Notamacropus eugenii: one gene and its partner. The protein of the gene in region 1 purifies or fractionates together with the protein of each later gene. This does not show direct contact. Links are inferred from orthologs where the notes say so. Each region holds a gene or a part of one and is shown on either strand. Other genes may lie near its edges.

Evidence for each region.
Region 2: the proteins of FTSJ1 (region 1) and WDR6 purify together in Homo sapiens (affinity purification with mass spectrometry; 3 studies listed by BioGRID and IntAct, with this or other methods). This does not show direct contact. The link is inferred for Notamacropus eugenii from reciprocal best matches to the Homo sapiens genes FTSJ1 and WDR6.

What each region holds. Positions count from the first base shown.
Region 1 is NC_092876.1:91,477,207-91,483,761, forward strand, and holds FTSJ1 (tRNA (cytidine(32)/guanosine(34)-2'-O)-methyltransferase), read left to right. Parts: upstream 1-4,293; 5' UTR 4,294-4,436; coding exon 4,437-5,420; 3' UTR 5,421-5,715; downstream 5,716-6,555. UniProt on the Homo sapiens protein: Methylates the 2'-O-ribose of nucleotides at positions 32 and 34 of the tRNA anticodon loop of substrate tRNAs. Requisite for faithful cytoplasmic translation.
Region 2 is NC_092872.1:7,374,134-7,381,728, reverse strand, and holds the start of WDR6 (tRNA (34-2'-O)-methyltransferase regulator WDR6), read left to right. Parts: upstream 1-4,547; 5' UTR 4,548-4,581; coding exon 4,582-4,777; intron 4,778-5,389; exon of another isoform or gene 5,390-5,560; coding exon of another isoform or gene 5,561-5,585; exon of another isoform or gene 5,586-5,601; coding exon of another isoform or gene 5,602-5,620; intron 5,621-6,812; coding exon 6,813-7,595. Other genes in the region: P4HTM (transmembrane prolyl 4-hydroxylase), read left to right, coding at 2,427-2,644. UniProt on the Homo sapiens protein: Together with methyltransferase FTSJ1, methylates the 2'-O-ribose of nucleotides at position 34 of the tRNA anticodon loop of substrate tRNAs. Required for the correct positioning of the substrate tRNA for methylation.

The DNA.
Region 1 (6,555 bases):
TTGCCCTCTGGAATACCATATTTCAAGCTCTCATACTCTTCATTGTAGAAACTGCTAAATCTTATGTTATTCTGACTGTGGTTCCAAGATATTGGAATTGTTTCTTTTTGGCTGCTTGCAATTGTTTCTCCTTAACCAGGGAGTTTTGAAGTTTGGGTATAATATTCCTGGGAGTTTTCATTTTGGAATCTCTTTCAAGAGGTGATTCTTTTGATTTCTATTTTATTTTCTGGTTCTAGAATATCAAGGCAGTTTTCTTTCATAATTTCTTGGAAGATGGATGTTTAGGCTCCTTTTTTTCATCATGGCTTTCAGGGAGTCCAATAATTCTTAAATTATCTCTCCTGGATTTTTTTCCAGGTCAGTTCTTTTTCCAATGAGATATTTCACATGTTCTATTTTTTTTTATTCTTTGATTTTGTTTTATTGTTTTTTGTTGTTTCATAAAGTCATTAGCTTCCACTTGCCTGAATCTAATTCTTAAGGAATTATTTTCTTCATTGAGCTTTGGTACCTCCTTTTCCATTTGGTCAGTTCCACTTTTTAAGGAATTCTTTTCTTCAGTGGACTTTCATACCTCTTTTGTTTTTTCCCCATTTGACCAGTTCTATTTTTCAAGGCATTCTTCTCTTCACACGATTTTTGAGCCTCTTTTATCTCTTGGTCTATTCTGTTTTTAAGGTGTTATTTTCTTCAGTATTTTTTGTGTCTTTTCTGCAAGCTATTGACTATTTTTTACATGTATCACTCTCATTTTTTTTTGCTTCACTTTCATTTGTCTTCCCAACTTTTCCTCTACTTCTCTCACTTGATTTTTTAAATCCTTTTTGAGTTCTTCAATGGCCTGGGGTCAATTCATATTTTATCTTTGAGGCTTCTAATGCAGCAGTTTTGACTTCGTTATCTTCTGAGTTTGTGTTTTGATCTTCCCTGTTGCCATAGTAATCCCCTATAGTCAGGATCCTTTTTCTGCTCTTTGCCCATTTTCCACAAAAGAAACTGGTACCAAGAATATTCTCTGTTGGGTGGTTTGAATATAGGAATAGCAGCACCTTACCCATGAAAGTGTACCCACAATGTGATTAAAAAATAGATCTTATTCAACTATCACGCATTTATTTTTTTCTCCTACCCACAAGAATGCAAGAATTCTTCTATCACATAAGTACAGTCAAGCAAAATATATTACTTCATTGGTCATATAAAATGTATTTCTTCTTCTGCACATTAGTCCATCATTTTTTTGTCATAAGCTGGGCAGTGTTCTCCTTTATTAGTCTTCTGGAATCATGGTTTATCATTTGATTGCTCTTAGTTCTTAAGTCTTTCCAAATTATTCCTTTTTATAATACTGATGCTATTATATAAATTGTTCTGGTTTTGCTCACTCACTCTGCATTAGTACATTATAAAAGTCATTTCTTGTTTCTTTTCTTAAACCATCTTATTCCTCATTTCTTAGAGCAAATAGTATTATTCAATTATATTTGTGTATCACAGTTTATTCAGCCATTTGTCAATTGACAGTCATCCCCTTAGTTTTAAGTTTTTATTGTTTGCCACCACAAAAAGGTAGCTGTTGCAAGTATTTTTGTATGTATAGAACCTTTCCCACTTTCTTCCATCTCATTGAGTTGTAGGCCTGTTAGGTTAATGGGATATAAGATCTTTCTCTCTCATTAGAGCCCTGGTGCAGAGCCAATTAGACTCTGGGTCACAGGTATTCCCACCCTTCCCCAATTAAGTGCTGATTTCCAAGCTTCACTAAGCCAATCAAGTGCCAAGTCTTTGATTGGAAACAATATATATTGTATTGCTTGGAAGGAAAGGTGTGGGCAGAGAGAGAAGCAGGCAGAGGAATGAACTTGCCTAGGAGAACTTGTTTGTAATGTTGGTGCTGCCTGAATTGGTGATGAGTACCTTACTAAATCTTGGCTTCTGGTATCCTAATAGCAGTGTACCACATATTTTAATTTTATCTTGTAAAAAGGGAGTTTGCTATATTTTGTGAACCATTCATGGAGATATGTGTGTATATTCATAGCAGCTGCCATAGGTATCACGTTGGTGTTACAAGGCTGGGTCAAAGAGCATGCAGAGTTTAGTAATTTTTTAGTAATTTTTGGCAAAATGCCATTCTAAACATTCGTGAAGGAGATATGATTGCCAAAGGCTACTGGGATTAAGGAGAATCTAATTGTTCTTGGACTAGGGGAAGCACTTTGATCTGACCTAATAATTCTAGATCAAATAGCACCTCACTGCCTCCTGCCACTGTTATTGACATGACTGTGCCATCTGAGAACAGACATTCTGCTTCTGAGTCAGCCAGAGCTGGCAAAATTATAAAATATTAGGTAATGTGCCATCATCTAGCCCAAGAAGGCTCTAGAGTTTATAGTAATGTTATGATTATGAGGGCTGTGAGAGCTTATGCTATCCAAACTAAAAAGCAGCCAGAAGTATGGCAATCTCATAAGAAAACTAATGGTGTGAGATGAAATTGATGGAATAAAAGATACATACGTCTAGTACATCAACCATATGAGACAATGTGGATATTATAAATGAAGAATGTTGATCTGTTTAATTATTATTTTAGTTGAACTTGCTCTTTTTACATCATAGATATTAACTTTTTTATTTCTCATTTGTCTTGTAAGTACCTGTGACATTATTATTTCTTTCACCTTATTTTTAAGTAAGTGGTTATATTTAAGACCTAATTGTAATCGCTGTGTATGGATTTGCCCACATTAGAGTAGACTTGAGAGTATTAAAAGATTACTTTGTGGCAGGAATATAAAAGAAAGCTAAAAACAACCCCTGCTTTAAAGGAGCATCAATATGAATGCAAAGAACTATGTGCAAATAAGCTAGTAAAGCTTTAGAACTGCACTAAGTCTTTTGGGACATGCTGTATACAGGATATTTTGGAGGAAATTTCAGAGAAAACATATTAGGGCTAACTAGGGGGATTTGTGAAAGGTTTTAAGTAGTGACTAGTGTGCATATTTCATCCACAACTGAATTTGAGTGTAGTTAAGCTACAGGGTAGTGATTCTTCTCTGAAGGCTTAGATCCATAGAAATGTCGTGTGAGGTGGGCTGTGTGTGTGTGTGTGTGTATAAAATAATTTTGAGTAAGATTTAAAGAATGACCATATAACAGTCAGATCATGCGAACTTAATAGTTTCACTGTACAACACATCGATTATACTTTGCTACAATGACTGTGTTGCTTTCTTCTACTTGTATTCCCAATGCTTAGCACAGTGCCTGGCACACAGTAAGCACTTAATAAATGCAAATCTATAATAAAATAAAAAGTTTTAAAATTTAAAACCAGATTGACTTATAGCTTTTTTTTCCTCCCTTCTCCCCCACCTATAGATGAGAAAATGTTCTTTCTCCTTATTCTGTTATCTCATCAGAAATATGCAACAGACAACACTACATATGTATGTATATATATTCATATATATGTATATATATACATATATATACTCTTTCAATTCCTTCACAGCAGCAAATTATACAGTTTAAACTGCATTTTTCCCCCCAATGGAAAAAAATTCCAAACTAAACTCAGATAAGAACTATTTTCACATATGACCACTCACTACTACACAGGACTCAAATGCTGAATGGAATGTCTTTCATGTGCTCAAGGCAGATCCAGGGGACATTTTCCCCCCAGGCTGGAGATGAGGGCACTGATTCCTTCTACTTGATTTTCACAGGAGATGGGGCTTGTGTTGCGATGCCCAAGGCCGGGTCGCCTCGCTCGTGGCGGGACTTCTTAGGCTCCGGATTCGGCCTCGCCTGGTCCTCAAATCCTTCAGATGCAGCAGACACGAGCCCGGACCAGGCCTGCAGGTAGGGAGGCCATGGTGCAAACCTGGGCACCTGCCGGCTTGTCAGTGCGCGTTCTGGACCAAGCACTCGGCTAGGCGCTGGGTATAAGGTCCCGGCTGTCGGAGAGCTCACGGTCTGACGGGGGAGGCAACACTAGGACAAGATGGAGACCGAATACATTCGGGATAGGCTCGGAAGGAGAGATGGCATTCTTCACAGAAACTGCTGCCACTGCTCCCAGAATGGGGGCTTCTGCAGACAGTTATAAGCCCGATAAAGAGCAAGGTGAAGACGGAAGTATATACTTGGAATCTTGGCTTACACTCCGCCTCCACGGTTTCTGTACCAATCACAACATTGCAAGCGCCATGACGCCTCGTCTTCCCTCCCTCTTCCCGCCTCTTCCCTTACAGGGCACCGTCGGGTGAGTGACGTAATCACGTTCTGGCGTGACCACGCACAGCGGTGCGTGACTCGCGACTCTGCCGGCGGAAGTATCTACTTCCGTTTTGACCTGCGCAGGCCGGCCACTGCCCGGTCCGTGTCGGGACTTGGGGCACTTGTCCCCTCGGTCCGCCATGGGGCGCACGTCCAAGGACAAGCGCGATGTCTATTACCGGCTGGCTAAGGAGGAGGGCTGGCGGGCCCGCAGCGCCTTCAAGCTGCTGCAGCTGGACGAGGAGTTCCAGCTCTTCAGCGGCGTGAGGCGGGCCGTGGATCTGTGCGCCGCCCCCGGGAGCTGGAGCCAGGTGCTGAGCCGCAAGCTCGGAGGCTCCGGGTCGCCGGCCTGCATCGTGGCCGTGGACCTGCAGGCCATGGCGCCCTTGCCCGGGGTGGTGCAGATCCAGGGGGACATCACCAAGGTGTCCACGGCGCAGGAGATCATCGGGCACTTCGAGGGGCAGCCGGCGGACCTGGTGGTGTGTGACGGCGCCCCCGACGTCACCGGTCTGCACGACATCGACGAGTACATCCAGGCGCAGCTCCTCCTGGCCGCCCTCAACATCGCCATCCACGTCCTGAAGCCCGGCGGCAACTTCGTGGCCAAGATCTTCCGCGGCCGGGACGTCACCCTGCTCTACTCGCAGCTGCGCCTCTTCTTCCCCGACGTGGTGTGTGCCAAGCCCAGGAGCAGCCGCAACTCGAGCATCGAGGCCTTCGCCGTGTGCCGGGGCTTTACGCTCCCGGCCGGCTACGTGCCCAGCATGCTGAACCCCCTGCTGGACCACAGCTACCAGGGCGACTTCAACCAGCTCGAGGGCCCCACACGGCTCATCGTACCCTTCCTGGCCTGCGGGGACCTCAGTGCCTATGACGCGGACCGCACCTACCCCCTGCAGCTGGAGGGGAGCCCCGAGTACCGGTACACGCCGCCGGCCCAGCCCCCCATCCGGCCGCCCTACCAAGAGGCCTGCAAACTCAAGAAGTCTGGGGGTCTGGGCCGGGGCACACTGCAGCCCGGGGCTCTGCCGGATGCCCAGGAGCAGGCAGCTGCCCAGCCCGAGAAGGAGGGCGAGCAGGCTGTGACCCAAGCCCTGGGCTCCATTTCCCTGGACCCCTAAGGAGGATTCCTTCCCCCCTCCCCCAAAAGGGCCTCTGGGAACATCCCTACTGCACTGGAGCGGGGGCGGGGGGGGGGGGGGGAAGGGGGTGTAAAACTCAAGTGCAAGCTCTTCCTTTGGCTATTCCTCCTAAACATAGCAGACCTTTAGTCGGAATTGGCAGAGGTGGGATGCGGTGAGGGAGAATATTTATACATACGTACGTATATAGACACGTATATGTGTATGTTTACACACATATATTTGAGACACCTTAAGATTTACATTTATAAAATAAAATTTCTTGTTTTTGTTAGATCTTTGTCTATTTTCTTTTTAAAAATTCATTTCATTGATGTCTTTTTTTGTTACCTAAATTCCTTCTAATATCCATCCTCCCAGTGAACCATTCCATAAATAATAGATTTATATTAACAAAAGGAAGTAGAGGAGAAAAAAAGCCAGCAAAGCACATTACTTTGTAAAAATCTGAAAATATATGCAAAGTTACAAACTGGGGGAAGCTCCCACCTCCGCAAAGTAGTAGAGGAAGGTATTTTCTATTATCTTTTGGGGTCATGTTTGTAATTTGTAGTTCTACAAGCATTCACTTTTAGGTATTTTGTGGTGGTTCGATTTCTCTCTGTGGTTGAGGGAATTTGGATTTTTGCTTCTTGGAATAGGAACTAACACAGGTGTTGATTGTTGAGTGACTTATCCTAACTTTATGATTTTCTATATTTAACTTGATTAATGTTTTATTTTTCTTTGTTTAAAATTTAACCAGAATTAGAGTACAAATTCTTAGGTGCAAAATCACAACACTAACTCAAATCTCTCAGAAGTTGTTTATTCTTTATTCTGAGTTTTTTTTTTTTTGTCAGAAACAGTCTTTGAGAAGCATGGCGTTATTTGCTACGTCTTTGCTTTGTTTATTAGATGTTTATTTCAAACTTAGAGAATTTTGCAAATAGCCAATTTTCTTTACAAAGTAAAAAAAAAATTACAAAAGTGAATGTCCAAAATGCTTAGGAATCATGTCAAGGAGAAAAAGAACATTTTTTGAATAGGGAAACTTTAAATTGAAAAACTATCAGGTATGTGGGTGAAGCAGTGTCCAGAGAAAAAAGGAACAGGTTTTTGCAGGCTAGAGAAG
Region 2 (7,595 bases), on another chromosome or scaffold:
GCTCCTTGAGGAGGCTGAAACTGGTGGATTCCTTGAGTTCAGGGATTTTGAGAGGCAGTGGGATTAACAACTTCTGTACCAGTCAGTCTGGGGATTGGGCCCATGAGTGGCTGCTGTGCTTTCACTCTGGACAAGATAGGGAGACCCAGTCTTAAAAAAATGTGTAAGACATGGCCATTGCCCTTGTAACTCATAGGGGGAATGTGATCAATAAATGACTGTAATACACACTGTAGGGAAGTAGTCCTCAAACTCTTCCACAGTGGGAGGATCCTTCAGTTTCTAAAGAAAACTTTGGCAGAAGCCTTGACATAAAATCCTCTGAACTGATTATTTTTTTACTGTTTTTTTTTTTAATTTTTAGATTATTTATTGTATTTCATCTTTTTTATTAACTAATTTTATTTATTTTCAGTGTTCTACAATAACTACCATATAACTTAGATTATTATTTTCCCTCCCTCCTCCCTACCTTCCCCCTCCCTCCTCCCTACCTTCCCCCTCCCTCCCCAAGACAGCATGCAGTTTTGTATAGGTTCTATACATATATTCCTATTAAATACATTTTCACCTCAGTCATGCTATGTTGAAGAATTATAATGAGTGGGAGATATCATCTAACAAACCAAAACGCAATGTGCATGCACACACGCACGCACACACACACCACACACACACAGATGATCTGCTACATTCTGCAATTGAATTCCATAGTTCTTTCTCTGGATGTGGAAGGCATTTTGCCTTAGAAGACCATTGCTGTGAAGTTCACGCACCGTGGTAGTTGTTGTGCACAAAGTTCTCCTGGCTCTGCTCCTTTCACTCAGCATCAGTTCATATAAGTCTTGCCAGGCCTCTCTGAAGTCTTCTTGTTCATCATTTCTTATAGTACAATAGTATTCCATTATTTTCATATACCACAATTTATTCAGCCATTCCCCAGTGGATGGGCATCTCCTTGATTTCCAGTTTTTGGCCACCACAAAGAGAGCTGCTATAAGTATTCTTGTACATGTGGGGCCCTTTCCCGTTTTTATGATCTCTTGGGGATACAGTCCTAGAAACAATGTTGCTGGGTCGAAGGGTATGCACATTTTTGTAGCCCTTTGAGCATATAAACTGATTATTTTTAATGCCAATTAACAAAAGATGTATGTCCATTTAAAAAAAAAAGCTTGGAGCATTTTAGGGTTCTTTTCAGCACCATTGGAGAAATACTATAGAGATCAGGGCAAGCTTCATGGAAGCGATGACATTTGAATTTGGATTTAAAGGATGGATAGGAATTCAGGTAAACTAGTCCTCATATAAGACTGGAAGAGGGGCTATTAGAATAGGTTGGGGTAGGGTATCAGAAATATCATGAACAAGGAACAAGACATTTGGCAGGTCAGGGAGGTGGTAATATGAGATAAGTTTGGAAATGTAGGGCAGCAGCAGATTTAGGACCTTGGGTACTGAGCAAAGACATTTGATCTTCACTCAGTCCAGTAATTGTAAAAGTGAATGGTTAGGTGGTTTGGTGAATAGAGCACTGATCCTGGAGTCAGGAAGACCTGAGTTCAAATGTGACCTCAGATACTTACTAGCTGAGTGACCCTGGTCAAGTCACTTAAGCTCTGTTTGCCTTAATCCACTGGAGAAGAAAATGACAAACCCCTTCAGTATCATCGCTAAGAAAACCCCTGGACAGTATCGGTCCATGGGGTCACAGAGTGTCAGACAGGACTGAGCAACAGCAGAGGCCTTATGCTCAGGTACAGGCTACCAAGCAACAAGCATTTATGAAGCACTTACCATATCCCAGACACTTTGCTAAGTACAGGAGGTAAAAATAATAGTAGTAAAAAAAGAAGACAGCTGTTGCTGTCTTACAAATGGGGCAAATCAGTTCATAAAAAGTGCAATAGAATGGAGGCAAGGAATGCTGGAGAGGTGGAAAAGACGGGATGCTTTTAAGTGACTGAATATGGAAGGAGCAGGGAAGAGGAAAGAGAAGGTAACGGCACCAGGTTATGAATGTGAGACTGACTGGAGGTTCCCCAGTGGAGGTGGTCGTTTGGAGGAAAAGATCAGCTCCGTTTGGGGCATGTTGAATTTGAGGCACCAGTGAAATATCCAGGTAGGGTTGGCCTGTTGGGAAGTTGGGAGTGTTTTGGAGCTCAGAAGAGGGACAAGGGCTGAAGACAAAAACTGAGGTCATATTTAGAAAGACAAGAAGCCATGAAGTCTTGTGTAACTGAAAGAGGTACATGCATTTGTATGTGGCTCAGATCTCTTTTACTTTGAGAGCCTAGACAAGCTCTGGATCCTGGTCCTTTCTCGAAATGGCTCTGATGCATCATTAATGTCATGAGCTCTTCCCTATCCAAGCTCTGTTTTCTGCTGGGTGGCTCATTGTTTGATCTCTCTCCCTCTTTCTCCAGGTTGGGTAGGAGAATTGGATGAATATTCGTTGCATGGTGGCTGTCTGGTCACCCAGGGAACCAAATGGATAGCTAATAACTGGATCAATGTAGACCCCAGCAAGAGTCGCCAGATCCGGTTCCATCAGGAAATGGCCCGTTATGGCCAGGAGGAGCTTGAGGCCCAGCCTGAGTGGACAGTGGACAAATCTTACAAGAATGTGCATGTAGAGCTCTGATGGTGGGGGTGGGGTCAGAGACAGCCACAGGCCAAGCTGGAGCAGCCCATTCAGTGACATCATGGCAGCCTTGGTACACTATTTGCTTTAACAGAAAGCTGATCTGTTCTTTGCCTTTTCAGCCAGGAAGGCTCTGAGATGATATCTGAGCTATGAGGCTTGGGGTTTTCATACGAATGTTGAATTAGTGAGAAAATGTGGCAGCCATGAGCACCCACAGGAGCCCTACAGCCCTGTGTCCATGGAATTTTTCCAGGAAAAAAAGGCCTGAAAGGATTTTCAAAGAATGAATTTACTGGGAGTCCAAATGAGTTCACCTCATGGGTTCACCTCCCTGTGGCTTCTGGAGCCTTCTCTGGGGGTGTGGTCGTTTGTTCCCATATTTCCATAGAAATCTCCTAGTAGTTTGTAGCTCCCCGGTACAAACCCAGGCTGTGGCTGGGGAAGAAAGCGGTTCATTTTGAGGGCAGCAGCTTCCTGTTCGACAAATGGGGAAAAGCTTCAAGTCTGCCTTAAGTCCTTGGTGTGTCTGTAAGAAGGGAAACAGGCCAGCATCTGATCCTCACCTTCTTGCCCTATAGTTGAGGAAAATTTAAGCCCTTAAATTATTTGTAGAAATGTCACTGTCACCAGGAAAAAGAAAAAGCTGATTTGGTGCTTAAGAGTTCTAGGGCAGGGATTTGGGGAGGTGTGGGTGGGAGAATACTGGCTAATTCCTAAGTTTCTCTAGGAACCTGGATCCCTGAGTGAAATGCTCCTTTTTGTTTTTGTTGTCACACTGTTCCGATGGCCAAGGTGGGTGTTCAGGTCTTCCCACTGTAAGGATAATGCAGCCCTCAAAGCCAGACTTCCTGGTGCTCAGGGTTCATGTGGGAGAGAGACAATCATGGCGGAGCGGAATAGGACCTTGGAGATGAGTTCGTCTGGCCCTCTCGGACCCCAGGCTGAGGAAGCAGTGACCTGGCCAAGGTCACCTCGTGCTGATGAACGAGCCAGGACCAGGAGCCTTACCTGCAGCGGGACGAGGGCGCGTAGCAATGGTTTCTTCTCAGGGGAAAACAGGCTTTATTCATGCCGAAGTATAAATTATTGGGGGAAAAGGGAAACTTTTAAAGTGCAATAGTAACAGTTTTACGGAATGAAGCGTTCTGTTTGCTTTTTCGTTTGAACCCGAGTTCTGTGCAGGCAGCGGGGGGCCCGTCCGCGGTTTCAGAGGCGCTGGCTGCCTACTAGGCTCGTTCAGAAAAGGCACTGTGCCCGTGCCCTCTGAGGTCGGGACCCTCGCTGCCCCTGCCGGGTCCTTGCCAGGTCTGTCACCGCGGCTGCGTCTCATCCTGCCCGTGCCACTGGTGACTGGTACAAGCACGCTCCTGCACCCCCACACACGCGTCCTTCAGGAGGGCTGGACCAGAGACTCGGGTCCTCCACACTCGGGAGGCCACTGCCAGGCTCGGCGGGGGGAGGGACCGCCTGGGCTGCGTGCCCTGCCCCCACCCCGGGGGGTCCGGACCCTCGGAGTGCCCGGCCTGGGCAGGTCTGCGGGCCGCCCAGGGCTGCAGCCCCCCGTCCTGCGCCACTCGGTGTGCTGCTGCGTGCGGACCCCACGGCCTTCCAAAACGGCCACGTAAAAAGGGAAAGCTTCGAGCGGCCCGGACTTCCTGCGGGGCTGGCGGAACGAGGGGCACCGTGAGCCACGGGCCGCCCGGCGGCGGAAGGGGCCTGGCAGCAGACCGGGTAGGGGGCGTAGGGCGGCGCTTCCCAGGTACCCAGCGTCCAGAGTCACGTGGCGGGGGGAAGGCCCATTGGTCGCCTGGTAGGACGGCCTCCCACTGACTGCTCCAATCGCTCGCAAGACCGATGAAACGGGCCAATGACGGCCGGCGTCGGGAGCTTCGGGCCGGGAAGGCGGCCAGCGACGGGCCCCTCCATTGGCTGCGATGCCGCCTCGGGCCCGCGTGGCCCCGGCGTGCGTGCATGCGTGCGTGCCGGGCGGCGTGCGTGCGGCGTGCGTGCGGCGTGCCGGCCTCCGAGCCTCGGCCAGGGCCATGGCGCCTCCTGCGGGGAAGGCGGAGTCGCTGCTGCTGCTGGCGCCGGTCACTGCCCTGCGCTTTGTGGGGGACCGCGTTGTGGCAGGTAAGGGGGTTCGGGCCGGACCCCCGGGCCGCGTCGCGCTGCGGGCCCCGGGAAGCCGAGGACCTCTCCCTCCGTGGGCGGCACGCGGAGCCGAGCTCGCCCTTCGGCCCACGAGGCTGTGGGAGCAGCCTGGGTCCGACGGGAAACTGAGGCAGGGGTAGGCCAGGGGCGCGCACGGGGACCTGGGCCGGGGGCGGCCCCTCCCGCCCTTAGTTGGCCCCCCGGCGGGTCTGCCCGTTTGCGGCCCCTGGCTTCCTGGGCACGTAAGCGATAGTAACGTTGGGGGCCAGAAGGAGCTGAGACTCCCGTGCCCAGAGCGCCCCCAGACCGAGGGGCAGAGCAGGGCAGCCCCGAGCCTGGCGAGGCAGCTCCTCGCGGGGTAAAACGGGGCGTTGGGCTCCTGGCAGAAATCCAGCCGCCTCGGGGAAGGCTGCCCGACGGGCCACCAGGGTCCCGTGGCTCCGCGATGCCCTTGGCCCCGCACACATCGGGCTGTTTGTGCCCGGAGTCAGGCGCTGCCAGGCCCACGCCAAGCATCGTTGGGCGTTTACTGTGCCAAACGGTGGGCACGCAGAGGAGGGCACAGGCCGTGCAATGCCGTGAAGCCGCGCGCGTTCTGAAGAAGGGGACGGCCGGCCCATTACGGGGTGCGCACGAGACAGACAGCCCCCCCCACGCAGCCAGGAAGGCTGGGAAAGGCGGGATTGGGAGAAAATCAGGGAAACTGAGGCAGAGGTGAGAGGGCAGGAGCCCTCCGCGAATGGAAAAGCACAGACGTCTGGGATGCCATGTTGCGGACCTGAAGTAGGTCAGTGTGACTGAGTATGTGGAAGGGCATCAAAGGTAAGAAGGGTCCAGACGTTAGGAAGGCTTACATGCCAGCTGGAGTTTCTCTTTGATCCCGGTGGCAATAGGGACTGGTACACCTAGTACTTTGTCTGGAAGATGAGGAGGATAGCTAAGGCCCAGAAAGTGACCTGCTCAGGATCACACAAAGACTCTTTCCTTTGGACCCAGAACTTGGAGCTAATTGAATAGAGAAGCTGTTAAATTGCAATCCCCTTGAGGGCAGGGGCTGTCTTTTGCCTCTTTATATCCCCAGCGCTTAGCACGGTATCTAGCCTTCAGGAGGCCCTTAAAAAATGCATGTTGATTGATTGAGAGGTGATGTGATTGGAAGAATCATCTTGGCAGCTGAGAAAAGGCTTTTAAATTTGGTAATCAAGAGATTATTCGTGACTATAGAAAGGGCAGTTTTAGTTGAATGAAGTCAGAAGTCAATTTACAAAGGGTCTTGAAGAGTGAAGAGAGGCACTGATTGTAGACTCCTTTCTCAAGCTTAGCCACGATGAGGAAATGTATAAATGTTAGCGAGAGGGGGCACTTGGATCAAGCATTCTTCAAGGCTGGGGCAGCAGGAAAAGAGCCAGTAGATAGGGAAAGCTTGAAGAGGAGGGCTGGGAATGATAGCAGGGACAAGTCACAGGGAGGGAATGGGATCAAGGGCTTGTCTTGGCAATTAGAGATGCCACCTCTTCACCTGAGGCTGGGATAAGAGGAGATGGCTGAGTGATAGAAGATGAGGAAAGAAAAAGGCAAGCCTCCATGGGAATGGGGAGGGTGGACTAAGTTAAGGCCTTGGAGAGATGAGGAAGTTTGGAAACGCAACTGTGGACAGTGGGTGAGAGTCAGTCCTGGACCAAGAGTGTCTGCCTGGCTTCTGTTGTAGCAGTAGGCCTCATCAGCAGTTTTGTTCAGGAGCCCGTGAATAGGAGTGAAGGATGCAGATGGTGGAAGTAATCCAGGATTGGGGCTTGGCCAGGCCTGAGTCCCAATAGGACAGGGAGGCAAGAGAATCATGGTCATACACTCTTGGCCAGTGGCGGCTTGGAGGCAGAGGACCTGGTTTCAGAACCCCAGGTCACTTGCTACTTGAACCCCACATTTCCTCTAAGGTCATATTTACAGGGACTTCATCTTATTCTGAATGTATGTGTTGGTAACCTTGATTTTATTTTACTTTTTTGCTGTCCAGGTGAAGGGCCCAACTTACTAATCTATTGTTTGGAAACTGGTGGGCAGCTTATAGCAACCCAGTTTGTGCCAAGTGTCCTCTGTCATTATCACATCCATGGCATCAGGGAACTTCAGAGCCCAGCGTCTCCCCAGGCCTCAGCAACAACCTTGGCTGTCTTTGGAAGCAAAGGCCTCCGTGTGCTGACATTGAGCTGGGGGGAGGGAGCAGTGAAGCTGACGTGGCTCTCCCAGCTCTGTGAGCTTCATGACTGGATCTGGGACCTTCACTGGCTTCAGGACCCTGGAAAAGCCACTTCTGCCCTGGCCCTCGCCCTGGGACACAACTCAGTGGTCCTTTATGACTACATGCATCAGCAGGCCTTGCAAGAGGTACAGTGTGACGAGGTGTGTATTATCTATTCTGCTTGCCTGGTAGGGAAGGACTGGCAGGAGCTGGTGCTGGTGGCTGGAACTGTCTTTAACCAGCTTGTGATTTGGCGCCCAGCTGATTTCACCAATGAGGAAGGAACAGTCAGAGTAGAGAGAAGGATAAGTGGGCACAGTGGGGTCATCTTCAGCATCTGCCATCTGGAGAGCAAAGGTCTTCTAGCCTCGGCTTCTGACGACCGGAGCATTCGGGTCTGGAGAGTGGGGGACCTGAGGGCCCCTCACAGCTCGGCTCAGTGTATCCTGGTATGTTATGGTCACCAGTCCAGGGTGTGGTCTGTCCAGCTCCTGGACAACTATATCATTAGCATTGGAGAGGATTCAGCTTGCATCGTATGGAATTACATTGGTGAAA